7 linked regions of the Macaca mulatta genome follow. The protein of the gene in region 5 interacts with the protein of the main gene of each other region in a biochemical or structural test. Links are inferred from orthologs where the notes say so. Each region holds a gene or a part of one and is shown on either strand. Other genes may lie near its edges.

Region 1 (4,078 bases), on a different chromosome or scaffold from region 5:
AGCATTGTTCTCTTTTTCACAGAGGAAAAACTGCCTTTAAGAAACAAGCCGGCAATACTTGACAAAAATATCTACCATTTAAGCACAGAGCCAAAAACAAGGAGTAGTCTCCCGGGCGCTGGAAGTATTTTGAAATCCCCAAAGTCTCATTCATTGTTCAGAAAGCAAAATGGAACTACTTTTTTTTTTGCTCCCTCCTCCCCTCCATGCAGTAGCTGTTCTTGGCAGGTGCCCAGAGTGGCACCCGGTAATTCCACGGTACATTGTGTACATTTGCATCTATTTAATCGGCTATTTACAGTCGTCCTTTACCGCCACCTGTAAGAGGCAGCGCCATAATGACACTAAGTGGCTGGGCCGGAAGCCGGGTGCCCAGTGGTTTTCTCCACTTGAGGACGCCTGAATCTGTGAAGTGGTTGGCACTTGGAGAAACAGGGAGACAGCTGGGGACATCGCACTTACAGGGCGGGAGGCGCGGGAAAGAGGCGCGCCAGACGGAGGGTCCTTCCTTCCTCGTTAGCTCCACTCGGCGGCTCCTTTTCAATTACCACAGCCGCGAGAAGGAACCTGCCGAGCCTTCGGTGCGGCTTGTTTCCTGCCTGACAGAGAGCCCGCTGCCATTTGGATTTGATGCATTTCTGAATCACCCGAGGGCCTGGCGACCCGAAGGAGGGCGGGGAGTGGGGGCGCTGGGGTGGACCCGCCATCCTGCGGAATCCGGGCCAGATAACAGCCCCCGAGCTCGGGAAATCGGCTTGCGGATGCGATGCGGGACCGCGAGGACACCTGCGCTCCGGTGCGTGTCGCACTCGTGCAGCTCCCGGTGGCGAACGGGGTGATGTGGGGGCGAGGGTGAGAGGAAGTCCAGGCGCCAGAGCGTCAGAAACGCTTCCTTAGCTTCCCTGGCACTTTGGAGGTTGTCTCGAGGGGGCACGGACAGTGCACGGCGGACTTTCAAGTTGCTCCCGGCACAACTGGAGGCCGGGAGCTCGGAGCCCCCACGGGCCGTCCAAGTGTCCGGAAGAAGCCTGCAGCGCCCGGGACCGCGTTGCGCGCTCGGGGCGCGCCAAGCCGCGCCTAAGCAAAGGAGAAACGCTCACGGGCCAGAGGCGGGTTGGCTGGGACGCGGAATACGCTCGGCCCCGGAGCTCCTTTCGTTTTAAGGAGCCTTACTTCTGGAAAGGGACAGGGAACTGTCAATCAGCGAGGGAGGGAGCGCACCGGCGCTGGGTGATGTCAGCGGATCAGCTGCTCGATAACAAAGAGGGGGTATTACAGGAGAAAGTTGCAGCAGCTGCAGCGGCCAAGGCGACACACCGGAGCCTCCGAGGCGAGGGGCAAGTGGGCGAAGGGAGGGGGGACGACGGCTGCTGCCGCAGCAGCTGAAGGCCAAGGAATTGAAAGGGCTGTAGGGGGAGGCAGTGCGAGCCAGCCCCGACTGCTCCTCCTCTTCCTCCTCCTCCTCCAAACTCGCGAGCCCCAGAGCTCGCTCAGCAGCCAGGAGCACCCGGAGGGACGGGAGGCAGCCGCGCAGCCCCGAGCTGGGCAGGGTCCCCAGCCGCCATGGATAGCGACGACGAGATGGTGGAGGAGGCGGTGGAAGGTACAAGCATTTCTCCAGGGCCGGGGGAGGAGGCGCAGAGGGCCCGGAGCGCGGAAGGAGTGGCGGGCTGCAAGCGGCGCGGCGCCGGGCCCCGCGGCCGCCACTGTCCCTTACACGGGTGGCCGGCTGCCCGGCTCGGGCGGGGGCCCGACAGCCACGGTCACGCCGCCGGGAGCGCGCACTGCGCGGCGGGGCGCAGGCCGAGAATGGGGCTCTGCCAGGCCGGGGGCGCTGGAAAGGCACGGCCGCGCCATCCCGCCCGGCCACAGCCTGCATCCACCCTCGGAGTTGCGAAACCTGCCCCGCGCTCTGGCCTTTCCTCCTTTGGGCGCGGAGGGTGGGTGCACTCCTCAGGGCAGCCGCTTGAGGCCGGCGGACTCCGCGGAGCAATCCCCTAGCCCAGTTTTGGCCACCCGGATTCCCTCCCGGCCGCCAGCCCTTTTCTTCTGCTGCCTCTGCGCCCAGCGGCGGCCGCGGCCGCGTCCGGGTAGGTCCCCCGGCGCAGCGCACGGGGCCAGACCGGGCACGTGGCAGCCGCGGCCCAGGCGGTAGCGCTTCCGAAAAGATGAAATCATTGTCGGGCGACTGACAAGGCTCCCGACCCGGGACTCGAACGCGCGCCGTCCGGGAGGCGGGCGGCCCTCCCCTCCGCTGCCCCCGAGCGAACTCAGTCAGGCCTCCCCCTCCCCCTTCCTGCTTCGCCGGGGTGCAGCCGCCACGCTGTGCAGGCGCGCCGCGAGCCCGCACCGAAATTGCTGGGTGACACTTAACTTTCTGAATTCCATGCCGTTGGCTGTGGGTGATATCACCGCCTCGGTGTCGTGTTTCTCCGCCCCTTCTCTTCTACCGCCCCTCCCCCGACTTTTCTCGCCACTTTGTTTTGCTGAGTTTCTCCACCTTTTTTTTTTTTTTTTTTTTTTTTTGCTAGTTCTGAAAAAACGATGTGGGGACGTTATACAATCTCGTTGTTTGTATCATGGGATGTTATGATTTTGTAACAGCGAATACTGGAAAATACTCTTTAGTGTATTTATTTGGTTCCACTACATACAGTACGTCGTGATGTTTTTCAGTGTGGTGTGGTATGATACCAGAATGTTTTAAACCAAGCATGTGAGTAAATAATTTTTAGCTGTTTGTTGAATCTGGTTTCTGTCCGATTTGTATAAACACAAGTTCTGACGAAAGATAAAGAAAAAAGTGGCAACACTACAAATGCGTAAGGATACATGGTTGTTGTTACATTGGGAAAAATCAGTTTTAATGTTTTCATAAACATAATTCCCTTTGCAGTGCTTCTGAGGTCTTAAGGGGAGATTAAGCAGACTAACATTTCTGAACTCTTGAAAAGTATTCAATGTAATGCCAATATTAAAACTTATTTCTTCATCTAACTTCGAAGCCAATTAAAGAGTGTGTGGTTTTTGTTAAGAACATTTTCACCATGTTGTGAACTCACAGAGCTATTTATCTCTCTAATAAATAAAGCCCATGTTGGGGCTGACTGGAGCCCAGATACATTGATTGAGTTGATCCACAGGGAGCCTTCTCAGAAGTTAAAAGTTGTTGACTTCTTGTGCCTCCATGTTGTGAAAGATAAAGGAAAAATGATCCCAGGATTGTTAGGGTTTGCTTTCTTTCTTCAACATTTACTTTTACTTGTAAAAATTAAATACAAACCCTTGATTGCTGGTACTGTTCTCCGTGTTAAACCACATTCATTCCCCTTTGAAGCTGTTTACAAACATATGTCCAGTTGTCCACAGTCCTCAGGCTCCTTTGCAGACTGTGACCAAGAGCTTTAGAAATGTATCAGTATTGTTTCTGTGAGACTGTCCACTGGATTCGAAAACAGGGAAGTTTACATAAACAGGGATGGTTTTGTTTTATAGGGTAATCATCCACATTATTGTCCAAAATCAGAGCCCCCTTGAGAATGAGGGGCTATTAATAATGATGCTGGGACAAGTAGCTTAAGCCTTGAATGTCTGGGGCAACCTGGGACACATGGTCACTCAGTTGTAGGTAACTAAACAATTAGAGCAGCACAGAATCTTTAAAAGCCCAAGAAGCATCTCAGGCTCTAACTTGCACAGTGCCAGGAGTGTGTATGTGCACATGCAGTAAACTGTACCTGTGCCATGCACTCTTGTCCAGCCATTCTTGGCCTTGTGAGTGCTGTTTGCAATAGTCTTTACATAACATCTAACACTTACACAGGGGACTGGTATAAACTGCTTCTGCTCTTTCCCAAAGAGAAGCTAGTCTGAATATCTTAGTGTTTAAGTACCAACTAATCTACCTCTTTCCATAAACAGAGCCTCTGTTCTCAGTAGTTTCACTGTCATAGCTATTATTATCGTTGCTATAATTGTTTAGTTCTTATTAAGTGCAGGCTGTGTGCTAAGTGTTTCACAGACATTATCCATTCAGTCCTATTCAGTCTTATGAGGTGGGTACTAATATTATCCTAAT
Region 2 (2,797 bases), on a different chromosome or scaffold from region 5:
CACACCACTGTACTCCAGCCTGGGTGACAGTGCAAGACCCTGTCTCACAAAGGAAAAAAAAAATCATAGGCAAAAAATGACATTTTAAGTCAGTGCTCAAACACGGGGCCAATTCCTGGAAAATTTTGGTGAAGTAGATTTTAGGTCATATAATCTATTACATACCAGAGGCAGGATCTAAACCTAACTTAAAAACCCATGTTTCCAAATGTACCATAGTTTGGAAGTGCTGTCAGGTCAGAGTGCTCAATAAACTTTTGGCAATACTGAAGACAGCATGATGCGACCATCTTTACAATCTCTGCAGCACCTGATAAATGCCTATTAAGTATTTACTAAATTAATATGGTGCGACCACTTAAAGATTCAGGCCAGACACTAGATTTTCAAGCCTACAGTGTTCAAGAAATAAAACCATCCAAGTGAGGAAGCCATTTCCAACAGGCTGAACCTATAAGGCAAGAAGAGTTCCTGGTAAGACTTAAGACAGAAATCAGGGATTATAAATCTATAGTTTTATTAAGACAAAAACTGACAGTGTAGTATGAAGTTTACATTTAAACAAAGTTTACACAGAAATCTAACACATGCCTAAAAGGATTTTACAATGTAGCTCTAGATGCAAGTCTAGACAATATCAAAAACTGATGGATCTCATGACTCAAGACAGAGCATTTTGGGTATCAGTTACTTCTTAGGATTTCTTAAAAAATTGTGTGTGTGTGTGTGTGTTTTAAAGTGAACCACTGCCCAATATGGAAGTTTAATCTTCTCCTGAGACCAAGGCTTTTGAAATCACTAAACTCTTAGATCAATTCAGTGAAACTTGTGCTGTCAGTGACTGAAGCCAACAATGGTTTCAGAGTTCAAAGCTCAAAAAAGAGAACGGCTCCAAGAGGTTTCCCCACTAAGAGCAAGGGCCCTTGTCTTTCCCTACTGTCTTATCTCCTCTACCACCCTCTTCCTCTTCCCTAACACCTCAGCCAGTGGCTTGGATGAACAAGCTGATATTTATAACTTCGTTACTGGAAAAGAAAGGGTCTTCTAATTTTATTAGCACCTCTGAGACAGAATGATCTGCTTGTACTGTATACTCTCCAATAAAAGACTTTCCTCCCTCCTCATCAATTTCCATCTCCAAAATGGCAACTTTGGTAACTTATGAACTGGCTTAGTCCTTTGTGGGAACAGCAATAAGTTTAGGCAGGGAACACCTTGGCTTATAGGTTTCAGACATTCACAGCTTTTAAACAGTCTCTCACAGTCCTTATTTATGGTGCCAATGACTTTTTTTTTTTTTTTTTTAAGGTAAAATATTCTGGACATAGAAGCAAATCATTAGTTGTCTGTTCTTTTCCATTGCTTCACCATTTCCCCTATCAGGCCCCAAATGTTAATCAAAGTGATGCTACCCATCTCCCTTTCTCCCCTCCCCATCCCTCCCCCAAATAATACACCAGTAATAGCCAAAGACTACACACATGCTACGCTGTAAAAATGCAGAGTTAACACTATTGGGAAGAAGGCTGTGGGTTGTGGAGATGCTCTTTGAAGATCTACAGTATTTTTTTGCTCTCCCACACACCCAATTCTGCAAGTTTTGTCCTTCATAGAAGGCCCTTTGCTTTTCTCAGCAAAGTGCAGAAAAGGTTGCCTTGAAACACTTATCCCCTTTCCCCTCCACTGGGATGGGTGTGCAAACTATACAGCTTGAAACGGCTTTAAAGCACTTGGGCTGCTGCAGGGCACAGAAACTATACTGGCTCTTCAAAGGACATCTTCTCAAGCCACCTCTATGGTGTCAAGACAAGTAGAACTCCTTCCCTTCCCACTTGAAACCCAGTCAGATGTGACAGGGGCTGGTACTCAGGAGCGTTAATTCTTGTCATCTTTTTTGTCATCATCCTCCGAGGGGTAGGAATGCCACGTCAGCCTTTCCTCATAGAAGGATATGACAACCTGTGGGCACTTGACATTGGCTTCCTTGGCAGGGACCAGGTCAGCCTCATCAGAGTTTTTCCTGCAGAATAAAGCAAAGAGAGACTTTGAGACCAGGTGCTGGTGGTCTATCCTAAGCACTAACCCAGGGGATAGTGCTTTAAAAATAGTAATTTTATAAAATTGGCTAGGGAACAACGAAAATGTGGCCCAAGCAGCATTTACTGGCAATTTTATGTTAAGTGACATCCTCAGAGTGACATCCTCTCCTGTTGAAAATTCCCTCTTGGGATTCGTGTATGTCAAAAGTAAGGTCAATGGACTTAACCGATCACATCTGAACATCTGGGCAAGGCCCCCAAAAGCATGACTCTCTAGATTCTCTGAAGGAAGAGAGGCTATCTAGATTCTCTGAGGGAAGAGAAGATACCACACTCCTCCAAAAGCCATATCCCAGCTGATAAGAACCCACGGAGAAATCCTGGCTTTGTCATAGGACTTTTTTTTTTTTTTTTTTTTTTTTTTGAGATGGAGTCTCACTCTGTTGCCCAGGCTGGAGTACAGTGGCGTGATCTCGGCTCACCACAACCTCCGCCTCCTGGGTTCAAGCGATTTTCCTGCCTCAGCCTCCCCTAGTAGCTAGGATTGTAGGTGCACACCACCACGCCCGGCTAATTTTTATATTTTTAGTAGAGATGGGGTTTTGCCATCTTTACGAAAGATATTGGCCAGGCTCATCTTGAACTCCTGACCTCAGGTGATCCACCTGCCTCAGCCTCCCAAAGTGGGATTACAGGCATGAGCCACCACGCCCGGCCTGTAATAGGATTAAATACCACATCTGGCATTGGCCAGAGCA
Region 3 (4,070 bases), on a different chromosome or scaffold from region 5:
AAATGAACACTTTCAGCCGGGCATGGTGTCTCATGCCTATAATCCCAGCACTTTGGGAAGCCAAGGCGGGCAAAGTGCTTGGGCTCAGGAGTTCGAGAACAGCCTGGGCAACAAGGTGAAACCCTGTCTCTACAAAGAATAAAAAAAATAATAATAATAGTGTACTGGTGCATGCCTGTAGCCCCAGCTAGTCAGGAGGCTGATGTAGGAGGATCACCTGAGCCCAGGGAGATTGAGTCTGCAGTGAGCTACAATCATGCCACTGCACTCCAGCCTGCAGGCAGTGTGAGACCCTGTTTCAAAAAAAAAAAAAAAAAAAAAAGGCCTTAAAATAAATTTTCTATTTCTCTTGTTTGGTCATGAAAGTGACCAGAAAACACTCAAATCTCAAACTTTGGAAGTGGTGCTACATCTCACCCATGGAAATTTGAAAAGATCAAAAACATCAATGCAGGCCACATATGCTCATGGTTTTAGACAAAACCAAAACTTCAGGAAAGTTTTCAGATATTAAAGCTACAGCAGGCAGCAGGAAGTCTTTAAGAGGTGCTGGTAATGATAACCCAATAAACAAATGTTAAAATAAAGCCAGGACAGAAACACTGAGTTGACACAGTTCCTGCATGAGCCCACTTTGGCTGCAAAACGCCAAGGCCACCAAGTAATTGACCTTGCTTTTTTTTTTTTCATAGGTTTTGGGGGAACAGGTGGTGTTTGATTACATAAATTCTTGAGTGGTGATCTGTGAGATTTTGGTGTATCCATCACCCAAGCAGTATGCCCTGAACTCACGACCTTGTTCTTAATTCTGTACCTAGCTCTCCCTTCTGCCTACTACAGTCAGTGGCCTGTTCTCATTCATCTAATGCCCTTCATGATCAACTCCTGGGCTTGCACCTTTCAAAAAGCACACTCCCCACTTCATCTTTTTTGCATTCCTTCTTCAGAAATAACCACACGGCATTATTATTTGTTTCTGTCTTTTCTGCTAAATTCAACGGGGACAAATAATATACTGTCCAGGTCTGAATTGGAATGTGGTCTGTGGACTAGCGTAGTGCCACTTGGGAGTTCGTCAGAAATGCAAACTCTTAGCTTCCACCTCAGACCACCTGATTCAGAATCAGCATTTTAACCAGCTTCCCCAGGAGATTCCCATGCACATGAAAGTTTGAGGAGCACTGGGCTAGATCCCACATTCACTCAACAAATATTTATCGAACCAGTATAGGATACAGAGGTGCTCAACATAAACATGAGGATACGGTGTGGAAAAAGAGCAAGCACAGACATTCCATTGTGACTAAGAAGCTCCTGTAAGTACTAAGAAGAGTATAACCCAGATGTTCCAGTAGAATAAATAATAGTTATATCAAAATTCAGAAGTGGCCACTGCAGCTTGGTTGTGGGAATTGGGAATCCGGAATCTGGGAACTTGACCCTCTTTGCAGCAGGCAGGAAGAATACAGGGAGGTGTGTGAGTGTGTGTGAGTGTGTCTCTTCCCTGCCTCTGCCACAGGCCGCAGGAGCTGACAAGGCCAAGTCCCCGCCCCCCTCAGCTGTCACCCTGTCAAAACAAAGCCGCTGCTGACAGCGCAGGGCCAGCCTGCCCCGCGGCCTCGGGCAATCCTCCCACCTCGGGAGCACGGCCCCCACATCTGGATCTGCAGCTGGGGATGACAGGGTGCCTAAACTGGCACGGAGAGTGGGTAGCAAGAAATGGGTGTCCTCAAACCAAGCAGTAGCGTCCGCGGCGCTGGGCTGTCACCTTGCCAAATCCTGTTTACACCTCGAGCAGCTGGGACAGCGTTTTAACTAAACAAGTAATAATACAATAATGACAGGGCTGTCACTGCGCGCGGCAGCGCCTCCGCCCCCAGCCGAGGGCGTCAGGCGCCACAAGACCCTCGCCTCGGGCTCTGCCCACCTTCGCACCCCGCGCTTTCCTCCCCTTCGCTTTCCCAAAGCGCCAGGAGTCCGGGAGTCTTCTCCACCCCGACTCCTTGCACCCAGTTCCTCCCAGTGGGACACGGGAAGGGATCGACTGCAGAAGGGACCACTCAGTCCCCCAAAAGATGTTTCCCTGCCCCTGGGTCGCCCACCACATGGAGAGCACCGCTCCACTCCCGCGAAAGTGACTCCAGCGAGCTCCTACAGAGCAACAAAACCCCAGAGTAGCCCGGGAGCTCGGATTCCGAAGCTACTCCTTTCAAGCGGAAGGAATGAAGGGCTCTCCGTCTTAGTGATCCCCTTCTTCAAACCCAGCAGGACTCTTATCCAAGAAGAAGCTAATTGGGCTCGGGCGACAAGAGCACTTCCGCGGTGCAGCGGCCCCAGGCGGGAGGCGGGAGGCGAGAGGCAGAAGGCAGAAGGCGGGAGGCGGAGGTGGAAGCGGGAGGGGGAGGGGGGTCCCGCGGGCTGGGCCCCTAGCACCCATCCGCGGTCCGAGAACGGCGAGCGCGTACCTTGCAGGCGGAGTACACTCCGAGTTTCTCCAGTTTCTTGGCCCGCGGAGCGGAGCGTAGTTGCGCCTTCTTCACGGCGATTCGGGCCGAGCCACCGCCTCCCGGTCCTTCGGCCGTGCCCGCTGCAGCCACTGCCGTTGCCGGACCGCAGGCGCCCGAGCCCCCGGCAGCAGCGGCGCAGGGGGAGCCCTGCGGGGGCGCGGGCGGCAGCACCACGGGCTGCGGGGGCAGCGCCCCGGGCCCGGCCCCTGCCCCGGCTCCTGCCCCGCAGCCGCCCGGCCCGGCCCCGCCAGCCTCGGACATGCCGCCCCGGAGCACGGCAGGAGGCGCCGAGTGTCAGGCGCCGCCGCCGCCGCCAGGGTCTCCCTCTCGGGCTCTGGTCGTCGGGAGAGCGAGACCCTCCCCCCACGCCCTCCCGCCCCCTTCGCCCACCCCCCTCCCCGCCCCCGCCCTCCCCCTCGCGCGCCGCTCGCCGGGCTAGCTCCGGCCGGGCCCCGCGAGCTGATGGTGGCGGCGGCGGCGGCGGCGGCAGCTGCTCCCCCAGGAGGGAGGGGACTAGCGGCTCCGCTGCCGCTGCCGCTGCCGCTGCCGCTGCCACCGCCGCCACAGCACACGCCCTTCCTTGGTTATCCTGCCCGGGACTCTGCTCCGCGCCCTGGCTGCGGACATGTTCCTCGGGGCTGCGGACTGGGTGTGCGTGCGGGCGGGTGCCAGCCTCGCAGTGTGTGCCGGGGCCGGGAGGCCCCCCACGGCTTCTTTTCCGCTGCCCGCGAGGTTTGCACCCCCCACCCCAGTGCCTCGACACCTACTGCTCGCCCGCCAGGGGGCGAGGCCAATCCCTGGGTGTGGGTGAGGGTGGGGACGAGGGTGGGGGTAGGGGACTGGAGCCCAGGCACCTGCTGGCCACCTCCCCCCTCCGCGGCCCCCCATCCGACCCCCGCACGCCCGCACCAGTGGGAGGGGGCCGCCTCTCAGTCATTTGTCCTTCCACTCTCTTCCACCCTGTCTCTGAGCAGAGACAACTTCCTCCACCCTAGCGGGAGCCAGAGGAAAAAAAAAATATTTTTGAAAAGTACCCGTCCATGCTAATCCTTTTCTTTGTTGCTAATTCACCAAAATAAAAGCGTGATGTTTTCCCTTTCTCTTTTTAAATACTTTCTGTCAAACTATGTTTTAATATAATTAACACTTTCTTCCTATAGCAATTTGTGGGTCAAATCTGCCAGAGGAGGGGGAAAAAACTTACTATTCCCTGTACTTTTTGTTTGAAAGTGCTGGTTGCTAAAAGAACGATTGTCTAAAAGCATTGTCAAAATAAAAACTATGTGCAGTGGAAAAAGTTTGAATACAAAAAGTTTGTTAACAGGACTCGTTTCTGGGTGGTGGTTCTATCACGTTACGTAGTTTTCAAAATTGTACCACCAGCGTGCATATTAACCAGGAAAAAGATATAAGCATCATTCAAAAGAATAAATACCGATTTTGGCCTCAAACTTAAAAAAAAAAAAAAAAGAAAAAAAAAAACCCTCAACTCAGTTTTCAACTCTTGTTGAAAACTGTTGTTTTCTCTGTTGATGACTGTGGAGCATACATGTCAGTGCTGCG
Region 4 (3,500 bases), on a different chromosome or scaffold from region 5:
GGCCTGAATAGTAAGCGAGGAGGAAAGAGCTACCCCAATTTTTCTTTTTGTTTTAAAGGTTTTCTAGTTTACTTAATACCCCATTCTCATATAATAGGGCTGTTGAAAGGCTTCTCTTTGGCTTCACCGTTTTCCTCTACTCAAACTTTACAAAGGAGATAAATGCTTCAGACATAACCTTGATTACACCATGGCTTGGCCTGGTAATGTCAGTTGCAAGTTTGTTGGTTTAAGGGTTCGAATAATTTGTAAATAACAGTACATGTTTCTATTGTGTTTCCAGAATGTATAAAGTTGGCATAGCATGGAAAGCTAAGAGGATCAAAAATCCATTAAAATAGTCCCTAACAAATGAAGAAGAAACACTCACAAACCTTCTTGAGAAGACACAATGGGTGGCAGGTAATCAGGAATGTATTCTTTTCTTTCCTCTGCATCTTTACTTCCAGGTTGAGGAAACTGAAGTACATTGTTCTTGCTAACGGGAAATGACGGAATTTGGTGTGGGAAGGTGACAGGTTCAATGTTGTGAATATAGTCTTCTAGTTCATGTAGACTAACCCCCATCAGCTGGAAAGCTTCACCAACATCATCCAAAACTGGGTCTGTTCGGCCATCTGAAACAAAGCCAAAAGCAAATCAAATTATTTGAAGAAATCCCGTGAATATATTTTTAAATATTAAAAAAGGTAGTAAGTAAATATGCAGCTCAGAATCAAACATTTTAACCTAGTTATTGGAAAGAATTTAATATTTTAAATAGAACATCACAGAATCATGTTTAAGCTGATTATTAAGGTCAAGCTTAAATATGATCAGACAACTAGCCAGAACACCACAGAAAAATCACACTCATGATCAGCTTATATATTATAGAACAAATTTCAAAGTAGTTTACAGATGATCAAAAGCATCTGCAACAGTGCCTGACACACAGAAAATGCCCCAGAAATAATAATAATAGTGTTTTGTCTTTTTTTTTTTAGATGGCATCTTGGCTGGGCGCGGTGGCTCACACCTGTAATCCCAGCACTGAGAGGCTGAGGCGGGCAGATCACAAGGTCAGGAGTTCGAGACCAGCCTGGCCAACATGGTGAAACTGTCTCTACTAAAAATAAAAAAATTAGCCGGGCATGGTGGCGCACGCCTGTAATCCCAGCTACTCAGGGGGCTGAGGCAGGAGAACTGCTCGAACCTGGTAGGCGGAGGTTGCAGTGAGCCGAGATCACGCCACTACACTCTAGCCTGGGCAACAGAGCAAGATTCCGTTTCAGGGGGGGAAAAAAAAAAAAGGAGATGGCATCTTGCTTGTTGCCCAGGCTGGAGTGCCGTAGTATGATCACAGCTCCTTGCTGCCTCAAACTCCTAGGCTCAAGCAATCTTCCCCTCTCAGTCTCCCGAGTAGCTGGGACTATAAGCACATGCCACCATGCCTTGCTAGTTATTATTATTATTATTTATTTTTTTTTTTTGTAGAGATGAGTTCTTGCTATGTTGCTCAGGCTGGTTTTGAACTCCTGGCCTCAAGCAATCCTCCTGCTTCTGCCTCGCAAAGTGGTGGGATAACAGGAATGAGCCAATGTGCCTGGCCTTTTTTTTTTAAATCATCAAATAAGTAGTGTGCTGTGCTGACAAAATCAATGTTTGTTACATTTCCTCTGTTGTTCCCTGATGCATCTGCGGAATTTTAAACAGTGGCTGGAACTCAATAACAATAGCTGGCACTCAATAAATACCTACTGAATGAATTATACCATTAAATGAATTTTTAAAATCTAAGAATATTTACAAAGAAGGCTCAGATCATAAAAGTTTGGTTTTTGTTTGTTTTTTGAGACAGGGTCTCACTCTGCTGCCCAGGCTGGAGTGCAGTAGGGCAATCATGGCTCACTACAACCTTAACTTCCCAGGCTCAAGCCGTCCTCCCACCTTAGCCTTCCGAGTAGCTGGGACTACCAGTGCACCACCACCATGCCCAGTCATAAAGGTAATTTACCTATAAAATTTCAAATGTAATTAGAAAACACAACATAAAACAGAGATAAAAAGATAAAAAGTTAGATATAGTGAGTTTTTTTCTTTACAAAAGCAAGTTTTTCTTATGCCTATCCTTAGCAGAGCTTAAGGTCTCTACATCTTTAAAAATGTCTATGAAAATTCCAGTTTCCGATTTTCAATAGCCTAAAGGATTTAACTGAAATCCTGACTTTTTAACTGAAATCTTGAAATTTGATCACTTCAAACTCAGTATGTCTGAAATTAAATCACCCTGTAAAATGAACAAGAATCCAAATCTTGCTAGAATTGGACGCATGTGTGGTAATGCATACAGAAACGTCTAGAAGGATATTCAGCCAATGGTTAACAGTTGAAGGGGATGGAAGCTGCAGTAGAGGGGAGGGCTGTGGTGGAAGCAGGAGACTGACTTTTAACTCTACATACTTCTGCAGTCTTTGATTTTTTTTTTTCTATAAGCATGGGTTACTTCTAATGTATACTTCTAATGATGTATAAAAAAGAGAAAACAAATAAAACGAATACTCTTCTTACTGAACGTAAACAGGCATTTCAACTCTTCTATTCCTATTAAAGCTATTATTACTCTCTCAGTCTAAAAAATATAATCATCTTAAATTCCTCCATATGCTTTGCAGCCTCAAACCAAAACCTGGAACTGTTTCTAACCCTGTCCCCCTCCCCATCCCCGGGCACCTTTTTTTTTTTTTTTTTAAACCATGATTTCAGATTTTTTTCCTTTCTCTCTATTCTTACTCTCTATTCTTCCTATTCTCTCTATTCTCTCTATTCTTCCCTGTCTCAGTATAGTCTCAAGTTCTGCCCACTTCAATGTCTTGTGCACATCACTGTCAGTACAATTTTCTTAAAATACCACTTTAATCATATTGTCCCCCTACTTAGAAGTATGCAATGTTTTCTACTACATGTTTTAATTCTTTTGTCTAGCTTTTAAGTCCCTCCATAACCTGATTTCACTGTGTTGAACATTTTCCTCAGACACCCTTGGAATGAACTAGCTGCATAGGGAGCTGAACACCTTACTGGTACTTTTATTATGCTTAATCTCACCTGGACAGCTTAGTTTATGTGATTCTCTAACCCGGAATACTCTATACCTTTATACAACCATACTTCATAGCTCAACTCAAATCTTATCTTTTCTGTGAAGTTATCCTACCCCAGAATCCATAGCCTACAACCATCTCTCCTCTTACTCCTTTTACATTTACTCCCTGTACCATACAAAAAATATTACAGTACTAGTGTTGAAGAGTCAGTCTGAAAGATTTAGCACCTGCTTTCAGCGCATGCCAACACATTTAATATATAATGTGACACAGACAGAGACATCTGCCCTTGAATGCTTGGAGAAATTGTCAGCCTAAGGCAATTCTGAAGTTCATTATTTGTTCATTATTTGAATTAATGGTAACTTCTAATACTTGCTTTAACTTGAGAACATTTATTTTAGAAGAAACAAA
Region 5 (3,295 bases):
ATCTCTCCAAAAAATTTAAAAATTAGCTGGATGTGGTCCCAGCTACTTGGGAGGCTGAGGTAGGAGGGGCCTGGGCAACAGAGCAAGACTGAAAAAAGAAAGAGAGGAGGGGAGGGGAGGGAAGAAGATAAAAAGAAAGGAAAGGAAGGAAGGAAGAAAGGGAGCGAAGAAGGGAGGGAGGGAGAGAGAAAGGAAGGGAGGGAGGGAGAATGGAAGGAAGCAAGTATAGGGCCCACCTCTGCTTCTGGTGAGGGCCTCTGGCTGCTTCTGCTCATGGTGGAAGGTGAAGGGGAACCCATGTGTGTGCAGAGGTCACAGGACTGCACAAGAGAGGAAGCCAGAAAGAGAGGGGAGGGGAGTGCCAGGCTCTTTTCAACAACCAGCTCTTCAGGGAACCAACAGAGTGAGAACTCACCCTAAAGGAGGGCAGGACTCTATTCAGAGGGTGACACCTCCAGGACCCACACACCTCCCACTGAGCCCCGGCTCCAACTTTAGGGATCAAATTTCAGCTTCAGAGTTGGAGGAGATTTGGAAGCTTCCACCTTCTGGTCCTTGATGATAAGAACGTTCCCTTCCTTTTACTATAAGGAGAACATCTTTCATAGGGGAATTCTATTTCTTGCCTTTAAGAAACAACAAGAAATTCAGAATGATCTTCCTACACCTGCCTCTTTTTTTTTTTTTTTTTTTTTTTAAGTGCCTTTATCTCAAAAGAGTTAATATGCCAGAAAGGCATATCTTTACCTTCTTCAGCATCCTAAGGCTCATCTGAGCCATACAGCAAAGGGAGTTCTTTGCAGGTCATAAAAAGTGGAAGACTCCTTTAACTCTGGTTGGATCCCAGAGCTGTATCACTGTGTAAAAGTGGAATGCCGGCTGGGCGCGGTGGCTCACGCCTGTAATCCCAGCATTTTGGGAGGCTGAGGCAGGTGGATCACGAGGTCAGGAGATCGAGATCATCCTGGCTAACATGGTGAAACCCTGTCTCTACTAAAAATACAAAACAAAATTAGCCGGGTGTGGTGGTGGGCGCCTGTAGTCCCAGCTATTTGGGAGGCTGAGGCAGGAGAATTGCCTGAACCCTGGAGGCGGAGCTTGCAGTGAGCCGGGATTGCGCCACTGCACTCCAGCCTGGGTAACAGAGCGAGACTCCGTCTCAAAAAAAAAAAAAAAAAGTGGAATGCCAGCTGGGCCTGGTGGCTCATGCCTGTAATCCCAGCACTTTGGGAGGCCGAGGCAGGTGGATCACCTGAGGTCAGGAGTTTGAGACCAGCCTGGCCAATATGGTGAAAACCCATCTCTTTGTGGTGGATACCTGTAATCCCTGTAATCCCAGTTACTTGGTAGGCTGAGGCAGAAGAATCGCTTGAACCTGGGAGGTAGAGGTTGCAGTGAGCAGAGATCGCGCCATTGCACTCCAGCCTGGGCAACAAGAGTTAAACTCCATCTCAAAAAATTTTTTTAAAATTAATTTTTAAAAAAAGTGGAATGCCGCATGCTGGCTTTCGGAAGGCTCTTCCCACCCAAGTCATGAGGAAGGGAGAAGAGGATTGCTGAGGAGACACGAGGAAGCTTGTGCTGGAGAGAGATGATCTCCACCGCCGTGGCCTACCCGCATCAACCCTTCACAATGCTGGTGCTAGCTCTGGTGGCCACGACCAACAAGCACTAATATAAGGGAGAGGCGGCCGAGTGGCGTGCCCTGTGGACCAATCAGAGAGTAGGGGGCCATCACGCCACCTGAGGCCAGCCAATGAAAACGCGGCAAGCTCTATAAAAGCGGGCAATCAGCTTAGGTCTGGTCAGAGGACACAGCAGAGACAACAGTTTCAAATTCATGGCCCGAACCAAGCAGACTGCGCGCAAGTCGACGGGTGGCAAGGCGCCACGCAAGCAGCTGGCCACTAAGGTGGCTCGCAAGAGCGCACCCGCCACTGGCGGCGTGAAGAAGCCGCACCGCTACCGACCTGGCACAGTGGCGCTTCGCGAGATCCGCCGCTACCAGAAGTCCACTGAGCTGCTAATCCGCAAGCTGCCCTTCCAGCGGCTGGTGCGCGAGATCGCTCAGGACTTTAAGACCGACCTGCGCTTCCAGAGCTCGGCCGTGATGGCGCTGCAGGAGGCGTGCGAGTCTTACCTGGTTGGGCTGTTCGAGGACACCAACCTGTGTGCCATCCACGCCAAACGGGTCACCATCATGCCCAAGGACATCCAGCTGGCACGCCGTATCCGTGGGGAGCGGGCCTAGGAGGGCCATCTCGCCACCTGAGAGGTTGCGCAACGTTCACCCCAAAGGCTCTTTTAAGAGCCACCCACCTGGTCGGAAGAGTTGCTGTAGCAAGCCAGGCTCTTGGGTTTTGGGGGTTCCTTCCGCTGGCCGGTGCTGGCTTACCTAATTCTGATTAGGGTGGGAGGCTGGCGAATCCTGTGTTCACCCTGTCCAGTTAGGAGGCCAGCTACTCATGCGCGTTACCTCCCAGCCTGTCTCCAGTTACAAGTCCAGCTAGTCGTGTGTGGTGCTAACTTGGTCTATCCCTTTAGATAAGAATCATGGTTGGTCTGTTTGGGGACGGGGTGTTGAGGGTAGCGTAACTGGCCTATCTGCAGTTAGGTAAGCAACCCCAGCTAGTTGTGTCAACTCAGCCTATCTACAGTTAGGTTGGAAGGCTGGCTGGTCTTGTGTGTTCTCAGCTCAGCCTCTTTCAAACTGTTACAAGTCCTGCGTGTGTGTGTGTGTGTGTACACACAGCTTCTTTCCAGTGAGGTTACCAGTCCAGCTAGTCTCCTACCTAGACAGCCTGTTAAGGCCAGCAAGTAGTATGTGTTATCTTGGCCTATTTTCAGTTAGAAGTCCAGCTACTTCACCAGCGTGGCAGCTCAGGTCTGTAATCCCAGCACTTTGGGAGGCCAAGGCGGGTGGATCACCTGAGGTCAGGAGTTCCAGACCTGCCTGGCCAACATGGTGAAACCCCATCTCTACTAAAAAGACAAAAATTAGCCAGGTGTGGTGGCACATGCCCGTAATCCCAGCTACTTGGGAGGCTGAGGCAGGAGAACTGCTTGAACCCAGGAGACAGATGTTGCAGTGAGCCAAGATCATGCCACTGCACTCCAGCATGGGCAACAGAGCGAGACTCAGTCTCAAAACCAAAAAAAAAAAAAAAAAAAAAAACAAAGTCCAGCTACTTGTGTGTGTTAACTCAGCCTACCTCCTGTTAATTTAGAAAGCTGGCTAGTTGTATATCTTGTTAACTTGGGCTATCTCCCATTAGGTTAGAAGGCTGGCTAGGGG
Region 6 (3,494 bases), on a different chromosome or scaffold from region 5:
TCCTGGGCCGGGGACAGTGAGGTCATCGCTGCCCCATCCTGGAGGCTCTGGCTCCTTTCGATTACCTGTTCCCTCTCCCAGAGAGACCCCTGCTGCATGCAGGCCTAGTGGGCTCCACAGCGGTGCTGGTTCCCAAGCGACCTGGGGTTGCCCCTCCCTGGGTCCTGGCTGCCCTCTGCAGCCACCACTGCTTCCTCACCCTCTGGCCCTGCATTTCCATGTCTCATGGGGCCAATGAGAGCATGGGGGGGGCAAGCCCTTGTGGAAACTGGGGGAGGTGCTGCTTCTCCCTCTGCTCGAGCAGCTTCACCCAGCCTGGGGTCAGCACTCATGTTCCACGGCGGGCCTGGGCCTTCCTCCGGGTCCTCACCGGTGTTCTGGGGTTTCTTTGGTTTATGTAGAAGTTGTAAACTGTGATTTGATGTGGCCGACCTTGCACCAGCCTGTTAGATCTGACTGCCCTGCTCGGGTGGTGGACTTGTCCTCGCTGTGACAGAGCCAGCCCTGTGGAGCGCTCTGAGGCTCAGCATTGGTGGGAGGTGGCGGGAGTGGGCAGCTCAGGGTCCGAGTAAAAGAGGGACATTGTCGATAAAGGACTGAGGACCGTGAGGGGTCTGACTGGGGTCCTTGTGCGCGCTGGCCTCTGAGCCAGTCCTGCTGCCACGCTCCTCCCTGTGGGTGCCGAGCTGCTGCTAGTAGGGGCATGCGGGGCTCCTGGTCTGCAGGCAGGGCTGACACTCCCTGTGGCCTCCTGCCCCTGCCCCCCAACCGGCTGTGTCGCCCTGGTACCAGCTGCTGTCCCCTCGCTCCCCTCCCCTGGGCTCCCTGTGTCGAGGGTGGGCAGCAGCTGCTTGTCCTGAGACCTCCCGGGTGGTGTGCAGGAGCTACCAGCGTTTCTGGGGAGAGGTGGAGCTCAGTCTGGGATGGCACCCAGGGCACAGGGATGGCTGTTTCTGACTGTGTCTTTGTTTTCAGATGTTGTGATCTCAACAGCCTGTCACCCAACAGAAAACATCATTGCCTCTGCTGCGCTAGAAAATGACAAAACAATTAAACTGTGGAAGAGTGACTGCTAAGTCCCTTTGCGCCTGCCCGCGAGGGACTGTCGGGACGTTGACCCGGATTGGCAAGAAACATGGTGTCTTGGAGGTGGTCCCCAGGGTCTGCGCCTGGGGGTCAGGACAGGGCCTGATCGAGCCTCCTCTTTGAAGATGATTTGGCCGAGCGGAAGGTGTGGACCACCGGAAAGTTCTAAAAGTTGCTGGTGACATTTCTTGCCAATTCTAACACTGTCTAGGGAAGAGTTCCTAGTCTATTGTGTTCAAACAGAGTCAACAAAAATTTTTAATTTTTTATTACAAAAGGGTGAAGTTCAATTTAACATGCGTTGTGTTTTTTCAGTAAACGTTCTGTATCTTTTTGATATTCCATGACCCAGTGCACGCCGTCACCGCCACCGTGGCCCCGCCAGCTGGCCTCCCCTTTGGCCTCGGGCCCTGACTCCTCCGTTCCCGCCAGTAGCCGTTGCTAGTGTGTTTCTGTCTTTCTGGAAAGCAGCATTGTGTGGTGGTTTTCCGTGTAAAGAGCCGTTTGTGTCTCGGGAGCTTGTGGGCCACACGTCGACAGCACAGTCGTTGCGCACGACGCTCCTGTTTGTCTCAGTGTCCCTGCAACAAGCAGCACCACAGACTGTAATAAAAGGTGGGGTTTTGTGAATGGTTGTGGCAAGTGAGTCCTTGTGAAGCTCGTCTCCATGTGGCTTTCTTGGAGAAAGGCTCCCCTGGGGCAAGAGGGCGGAAGGTTTCTTCGGAAAGGTGGTGCTGAGGCTGGCTGCGCCTGCTCTCTGAAGCCGCCTTCCTCTCTAGGTTCACTGTTCAGTGTTGCTGGGGGAGGAGCGGGGGTGGGGAGGTTCTTAGTTGCGAAGGAGCCAAGCTCCTGATGGGCTCCCGTTGGGATGTGGAGGATGCCTGTGGCATGGGAACGCTCCCTGAGCCCTTCACTCCAGGTCAGATGCCAGTGGGACTGATGCGCCCTATGAGGGCTGCAGGGCCAGCGCTGCCCTTCGGCATCCTCGAGGGGTTGGGTGCTAAGCGCAAGCCTCACTGTCCTTGCCGGAACCCTCACTCGCCCGCCCACCCCTCTGTGCTCCTGGCGGTGCGGCTTCCTGGTGCTCACCTGCACAGCAGTTTACAGTGGAGGCCAAGCTGGCACCTCTGGGGAGCGAGGCTGAAACCTGAGCTCCGTGGAGACCGTTGTGGTGAGGGCTGCCACACAGGGCGGAGCAGGGTGGCCGAGGGCACGGGCGCCTGGGTCTGTCCCACGGGGCAGCGCTTTGGGGTGGTGTAGGCTGTGATGCTCTGGGAAGCCCGCTTGGGTCCTGGGTCTACAGAGGGCCCTGGCCCCGGAGCCCAGCCAACTCTTCCTCTCTCAGGGCCTGGAGTCCTGGGGGAGCCCAGCCGGCTCTGCCTCTCAGGGCCTGGAGTCCTGGGTGAATCCTGCAGGTTTTTGGTTGCACTGGCCCAGGGAGGAAGCGGGGGTTGTCAGGTGGGCTCTCCTGGGGGTCCTGCAGTGGCAGAGGTGAGGAGGGGATTATCCGAGGCATCTGGAGATGTATGTCCTGTGGTTTCCCTTGCCCGTCTGTTTCTGATGAGGTGTACGGATGAGTGACCTGCGCTAAGAAGTGAGTTACCACAGTGAAAATGGGTTGGTTTTTGTCTTCGACGCTCAGGGTCTGGGCGCCTCACATTTGCAGTCTGTTGTGACAGACTCGGGAAGCTCCGTGTGCCAGCCTGCGGCTGCCCTGCTGTGGGGGTCCTGGGGGCGGCGAGCCTCCTTCAGTCTTGTTCTGGGGAGGATGGCCCACTCCGGGGAGGGGGTGTGCTGTGCTGAGCGCTGTATCCCTGAATATAGTTTATTTTTTCTACATTTGAATTCTGTTGTAGATTTATGTAAAAATACATTCTTTTTGAAAATAAAAATTTTCATGTCTTCTAATTTTGTCCTGTGAGAATTTCTTAACTTCAAACGTAGCTGTCTCTGTGGGGTGGGAGGGCGGCCGCCCTGGGGCTTTGTCCCTGGTGGTGGGGGTAGTGTCTGGTGTGCCAGTGTGCCCCACAGGACAGCCCTGGGTTTTTACGGTAACCGTAGGAAAGTCATCTCTTTGTGCTAATTATTCTATGTATTTTGTATTGATTTTTCCACTCTTAGGTATATATCTGTGTGCTAATTACTGACAGTGTTAGGCAGGTAGGCACAGATGAGGAGAGGTCCTCCAAAGTCCTGCTGCCACCACCGTGCTGGGGAGTATCTTCCACGGTATGCCTTACAAACTAACAGGAGCTTTCAGATGTGAAGAGCGTGGCGCCCCCAGGTTCCTTCCTGTCCCTGCTGCAGGAACTTCCTTGTTCATGGGCTCCTTCTGTTATTTTAGTACAAATCCCAGACATTCTACCATGTAAGCGGTGAACGTGTGGTGTCTCAAAATAATTCTCCAG
Region 7 (4,222 bases), on a different chromosome or scaffold from region 5:
TAAAAAGGCTGGGCACGGTGGCTCACACCTGTAATCCCAGCACTTTGGGAGGCCCAGGCGGGCGGATCACCAGAGGTTGGGAGTTCGAGACCAGCCTGACCAATATGGAGACACCCCCTCTCTACTAAAAATACAAAATTAGCCGGGCGTGGTGGTGCATGCCTGTAATCCCAGCTACTCGGGACGCTGAGGCAGGAGAATCCTTTTGAACCCATGGCTGGAGGTTGCGGTGAGCTGAAATAGTGCCATTGCATTCCAGCCTAGGCAACAAAAGAGAAACTCCATCTCAAGGGAAAAAAGATACAAACAAACAATAATAATTGAAAAAAATTCTTAAAAAATTTCCATACAACAGTAATTTTTTTAATTTTTAAATTTATTTTTACTTTTATAGACTTTAGGGGTACATGTGCAGTTTTGCCTCAGGGATATATCACATAGTGCTGAAAGTCTGTACCCAACTGAAATTGTACCCAACTTCTGAATAACGTTCACATTTGTCTCATTCCCCTCCTATCCTTCTACTGAGGAGGTTTTTTTTGTCCTGTCCCTAAAAATGTCACCGTAAATCTATTTGATTAGGGAAAACAATGTTTGGTTTGACCCCGACGTGATTTGAACACGCAACCTTCTGATCTGGAGTCAGACGCGCTACCGTTGCGCCACGAGGCCTGCCCGAGAGGGTGACTTGAGGGGTCTCTTGAACAGCAATAAGGGGAGGACTTTTGTCATGAAGCCGTATCTTTAAGATTTGTCAGCGCATTTCTGCGAGGCACCAGCTGACGAGATGTGGGCGCACGTACGTAGGAATCTGAATAAATAATAAAGAGGCAAATTGTGTTTAGGCGCATTTGACTTAGGGCCCAGTTCCTTAACTTGAATCACATTGAGCTCATTGAGCCCACTCTACAGAGAAGCGATTTTTATGCGTCTAGGACTCTTTTTTTTTTTTTTTTCTGGAGATGATAAATCATCATGATGCCGCTGCAGTTCTCGCCCCCTGGAGAGATCTTAGATGTAATCCCAGCTCTGCCGGTGACTCAACTTCTTTGGACCTTGGTTTCCTCGTCTGTAGACTGGGCATAACCCTACAGGTTCATGTGGGGTGGCGCGCACTAGCGGTAAAGGTCACGCACAATTGCGCCGGGCAGACGACAGCAGCCATTACTTTTACCTGGATCTCGCTGATGCTGTTTCCCTGGCTCCGCACGGGTCCAACGCGACTCACCGCAATCAACATGAGGTATGAAAGAAAACAGCAGTACCTAAGCGTTGGTGGTATAGTGGTGAGCATAGCTGCCTTCCAAGCAGTTGACCCGGGTTCGATTCCCGGCCAACGCAAGTGCATTTTGAATTTTTTTTTTTCCCTCTTTTCTTTCTCGTGTTTTCTGGGCCCCACCATCGTTGAGGATTTTCGTGAGGTTTTCCTGAGGAACCGTCCTCTCCGAAAGAACCCGCTTTCCGCTACACCTGCGACCACTGCCGGACCACCGCGCTCCTGGCGGATGCGCCCTGCAAGCCCCTCCAGGTGAGAGCAGCCTGTCGGAATTTCGGCCCGGGGTTGCCTACTGTTCCCGGATCGCAGTGCGAATCCACAAAACGCAGGGAGGTGAAAGGAAACAAAAGCCCGGGCTCTGCACCCTGGACAGCCGGGGGCCAAATGGCTGCTTGCCCAGGTTCAAGCAGAGACTGGAAATGCGCACTGCCGTCAAGGAGGGAGCAAGCTAGATCAAGTTTGAGCACTAATGAACATATTGAGCGGAGGAGATAGTGGCCACTTTAGGTACACGTTTGAACTCCAAGTTGCTTGAACTAAAATGGAAACTTAGAATGCGAGCTGGAGAGGTAGGCCAAACTTTCCTCCCCTCCTCCTTTCCCTCTTTTTTCTAGCTCCATCCCAGGGGCCAGGACGGATTTAATGAAAGCAAAATCATTTGGATTCTCCCCCTCGGGGAATGGAACCCCGGTCTTCCGCGTGACAGGCGGGGATACTCACCACTATACTAACGAGGAGTGACCCGTCAATGGTCGTCTCCAAATCCTTGATCTGGGACTTTACACTCGGCTTGCTGACAGCAGAGTTCCTAAGGGTTCTGTTCTTCCGACCACCGAGAAAAGCCGACCAGAAACTGTAGGTGTATTTCAGGCACCCATCGTCAGACGGAGTGACCGAAAGAGACAGAGTACCTCCAGGGCTGCAGAGAACCAAGTTCTGACAGTTCCTGGGCTCTCCCGAACACTGTCATCCACAACTATAGATTGATGGGTGTCAATCAAACCGAAACCAGGCTGTAGTGGCGGAGTTGAGACACCACGCAGGAAGTCAAGAAGCAGAAAGGGAGCGTCCTGCCCAAGTCTGGGCGTGCCTCGTCTCTTCCTGACATGCCAGGCGGGTCTGGGGACTGAGATTCTTTCTGTTACCCCGGTGCCACAAAAGAGCTTACTGTACATTGATGATTTCCAGTGAAGCCTCCTGCAGCGCTGGTCAGGTAACACATTCCTTGAAGACACTCTTATTTCAGCAAAACGTAAAGGAGGGCTCGTCCGGGATTTGAACCCGGGACCTCTCGCACCCGAAGCGAGAATCATACCCCTAGACCAACGAGCCGACGTACGAATGCCGTTGCGAACCGCCCTAGAGGTCGTGCCAGGCTAGCTGTAGTGCCGGGTCCACTATGCATGGCAGAACGGTCCTGGCGCCGCTCAGGAACCAGCCTCCCCCAAGCCTAGTATTTTGGAGCACGGGTCTGGGAGTCCCTTGGCTCTGGGCCGCCAGCTCCAACTCCTCCCAGGAAATAGCGTCGAGGAAGTGGAAGGGAGTGGCCTCAGCCTAGCCCCCGCGCCGCCCTGGAGGACTGCCTTGAACACCCGGGTTCCTGCTTCCTTTGGTCACCGACTCGGTGCCATTCCGTAACCTGGGATCTTGACAATTCCCGCCTCCGCCTGCGGTCCTTGGACCTAGTCCTTCGTTGCAGAGCTTTGAAGAGAAGCGGTGGAGTTGCTTGCTTTCGGGACGGGTCGGAGACAGTTAATGAGCCTTGAAATCACTAGGGGAACACCAGTTCCCCGTGTCTGTCTATCCTCCTGGGCTAACGGGCAGGGCAAACCCCGGGCCAGACCCGTCGATAGACTACGGGTTCCCCAGACCGCGTGGCAGTGCCCAGGCGAGGGAAAGAGGGAACGATTTCTGGGGCCCAGGAGACCCACGGTGGAGGGCGTTATTGATCTGGGTGACTGGAGTGGGACAGGCTTTCCACCCTGCAGTGGGGCGGGGCGCAAGGCCAGGCGACTAGTCTCGTGGCTTCTGGACTGTAAGATCAGGTTACCCCTACCCTCCGGTCTAACCTCTGCTCTCCAGTCCCCTCCTAGAATGGCCTAGAAGGAGACCTTCCTGCCTGCCTCCTAAGACCCCCCCGAAGGCTCTGAGGCAAGTGGCCTCACGAGTGTGGTCTAAGACCTGTAGACCCGGTTTGGGGACTTAGCAGTACTCCGGAGCTGCCCAGAGTCCCAGAAGATCTGGTGGAGTCAGTAGCAGACCACGTGTTCTGCCTTTCCTCAGCTCAGTGCCTGTTCTGGGGAGTCCTCCCCGCGGGGTTCTGGCCTGCATCGGTCCTGGACCAGCCTGGTAGCATCTCTGGAACCATTTTGTTCTACACCCCAGTTATGTGATTTGTGGGGCCAGGCCGTTCCTAACGCCCAACCCATAGATACGTTGACGGGGCCTTCAGTGAAGGATTCAGCTCCTATTTGTCCTTTCCCAGGTGTCCCTGGGCAGACAGTGGGGAAGGGCAGAAGTTAGCCCAGTCTTTCCCATTAGTGTCCTAAGTCTTTGAGACGGGTAAAGAGGTTCTCAGGGCTGATCTGGCATCTCCTCCCCCATCCCTACCCTTTTCCAATTCCTGTCTCCCTCCCCTTGGGCTCCAGCTTTCTCTGCAAAATAATCCAGTCACCTCTTTCTTCCCTGGTCTGAAGAACTTAATCTCTGCAGAAGGGGAGGCCTAAATCCTTTATGACCCTTATGAAAGCTATGACCCTCTTCCCCGGGGGCGGTGGCTCACACCTGTAATCCCAGCACTTTGGGAGGCTGAGGCGGGTGGATCACAAAGTCAGGAGTTCAAGACCAGCCTGGCCAAAATGGTGAAACACCGTCTCTACTAAATATACAAAAATTAGCCCGGCACGGTGGCACGCGCCTGTAATCCCAGCTACTTGGGAGGCTGAG

Evidence for each region.
Region 1: of the proteins of H3-4 (region 5) and SETD7, one has a biochemical effect on the other in vitro, tested with the Homo sapiens proteins (2 studies listed by BioGRID). The link is inferred for Macaca mulatta from reciprocal best matches to the Homo sapiens genes H3-4 and SETD7.
Region 2: the proteins of H3-4 (region 5) and CBX1 interact in a test that uses a peptide from one of them, tested with the Homo sapiens proteins (3 studies listed by BioGRID). The link is inferred for Macaca mulatta from reciprocal best matches to the Homo sapiens genes H3-4 and CBX1.
Region 3: of the proteins of H3-4 (region 5) and KAT2B, one has a biochemical effect on the other in vitro, tested with the Homo sapiens proteins (2 studies listed by BioGRID). The link is inferred for Macaca mulatta from reciprocal best matches to the Homo sapiens genes H3-4 and KAT2B.
Region 4: the proteins of H3-4 (region 5) and TAF3 form a complex in vitro, tested with the Homo sapiens proteins (2 studies listed by BioGRID, with this or other methods). The link is inferred for Macaca mulatta from reciprocal best matches to the Homo sapiens genes H3-4 and TAF3.
Region 6: the proteins of H3-4 (region 5) and WDR5 form a complex in vitro, tested with the Homo sapiens proteins (4 studies listed by BioGRID, with this or other methods). The link is inferred for Macaca mulatta from reciprocal best matches to the Homo sapiens genes H3-4 and WDR5.
Region 7: of the proteins of H3-4 (region 5) and AURKB, one has a biochemical effect on the other in vitro, tested with the Homo sapiens proteins (4 studies listed by BioGRID and IntAct). The link is inferred for Macaca mulatta from reciprocal best matches to the Homo sapiens genes H3-4 and AURKB.

What each region holds. Positions count from the first base shown.
Region 1 is NC_133410.1:148,441,242-148,445,319, reverse strand, and holds the start of SETD7 (histone-lysine N-methyltransferase SETD7), read left to right. Parts: upstream 1-1,278; 5' UTR 1,279-1,563; coding exon 1,564-1,603; intron 1,604-4,078. UniProt on the Homo sapiens protein: Histone methyltransferase that specifically monomethylates 'Lys-4' of histone H3. H3 'Lys-4' methylation represents a specific tag for epigenetic transcriptional activation.
Region 2 is NC_133421.1:61,951,877-61,954,673, reverse strand, and holds the end of CBX1 (chromobox protein homolog 1), read right to left. Parts: intron 2,021-2,797; coding exon 1,876-2,020; 3' UTR 501-1,875; downstream 1-500. UniProt on the Homo sapiens protein: Component of heterochromatin. Recognizes and binds histone H3 tails methylated at 'Lys-9', leading to epigenetic repression. Interaction with lamin B receptor (LBR) can contribute to the association of the heterochromatin with the inner nuclear membrane.
Region 3 is NC_133407.1:28,522,432-28,526,501, forward strand, and holds the start of KAT2B (histone acetyltransferase KAT2B), read right to left. Parts: upstream 2,801-4,070; 5' UTR 2,769-2,800; coding exon 2,466-2,768; intron 1-2,465. UniProt on the Homo sapiens protein: Functions as a histone acetyltransferase (HAT) to promote transcriptional activation. Has significant histone acetyltransferase activity with core histones (H3 and H4), and also with nucleosome core particles.
Region 4 is NC_133414.1:9,321,854-9,325,353, reverse strand, and holds part of TAF3 (transcription initiation factor TFIID subunit 3), read right to left. Parts: intron 618-3,500; coding exon 375-617; intron 1-374. UniProt on the Homo sapiens protein: The TFIID basal transcription factor complex plays a major role in the initiation of RNA polymerase II (Pol II)-dependent transcription.
Region 5 is NC_133406.1:86,178,103-86,181,397, reverse strand, and holds H3-4 (histone H3.1), read left to right. Parts: upstream 1-1,126; 5' UTR 1,127-1,840; coding exon 1,841-2,251; 3' UTR 2,252-2,795; downstream 2,796-3,295. UniProt on the Homo sapiens protein: Core component of nucleosome. Nucleosomes wrap and compact DNA into chromatin, limiting DNA accessibility to the cellular machineries which require DNA as a template.
Region 6 is NC_133420.1:8,352,649-8,356,142, reverse strand, and holds the end of WDR5 (WD repeat-containing protein 5), read left to right. Parts: intron 1-975; coding exon 976-1,076; 3' UTR 1,077-2,994; downstream 2,995-3,494.
Region 7 is NC_133421.1:9,727,390-9,731,611, forward strand, and holds the start of AURKB (aurora kinase B), read right to left. Parts: upstream 2,801-4,222; 5' UTR 1,997-2,800; intron 1,342-1,996; exon of another isoform or gene 1,270-1,341; intron 812-1,269; exon of another isoform or gene 601-811; intron 1-600. UniProt on the Homo sapiens protein: Serine/threonine-protein kinase component of the chromosomal passenger complex (CPC), a complex that acts as a key regulator of mitosis.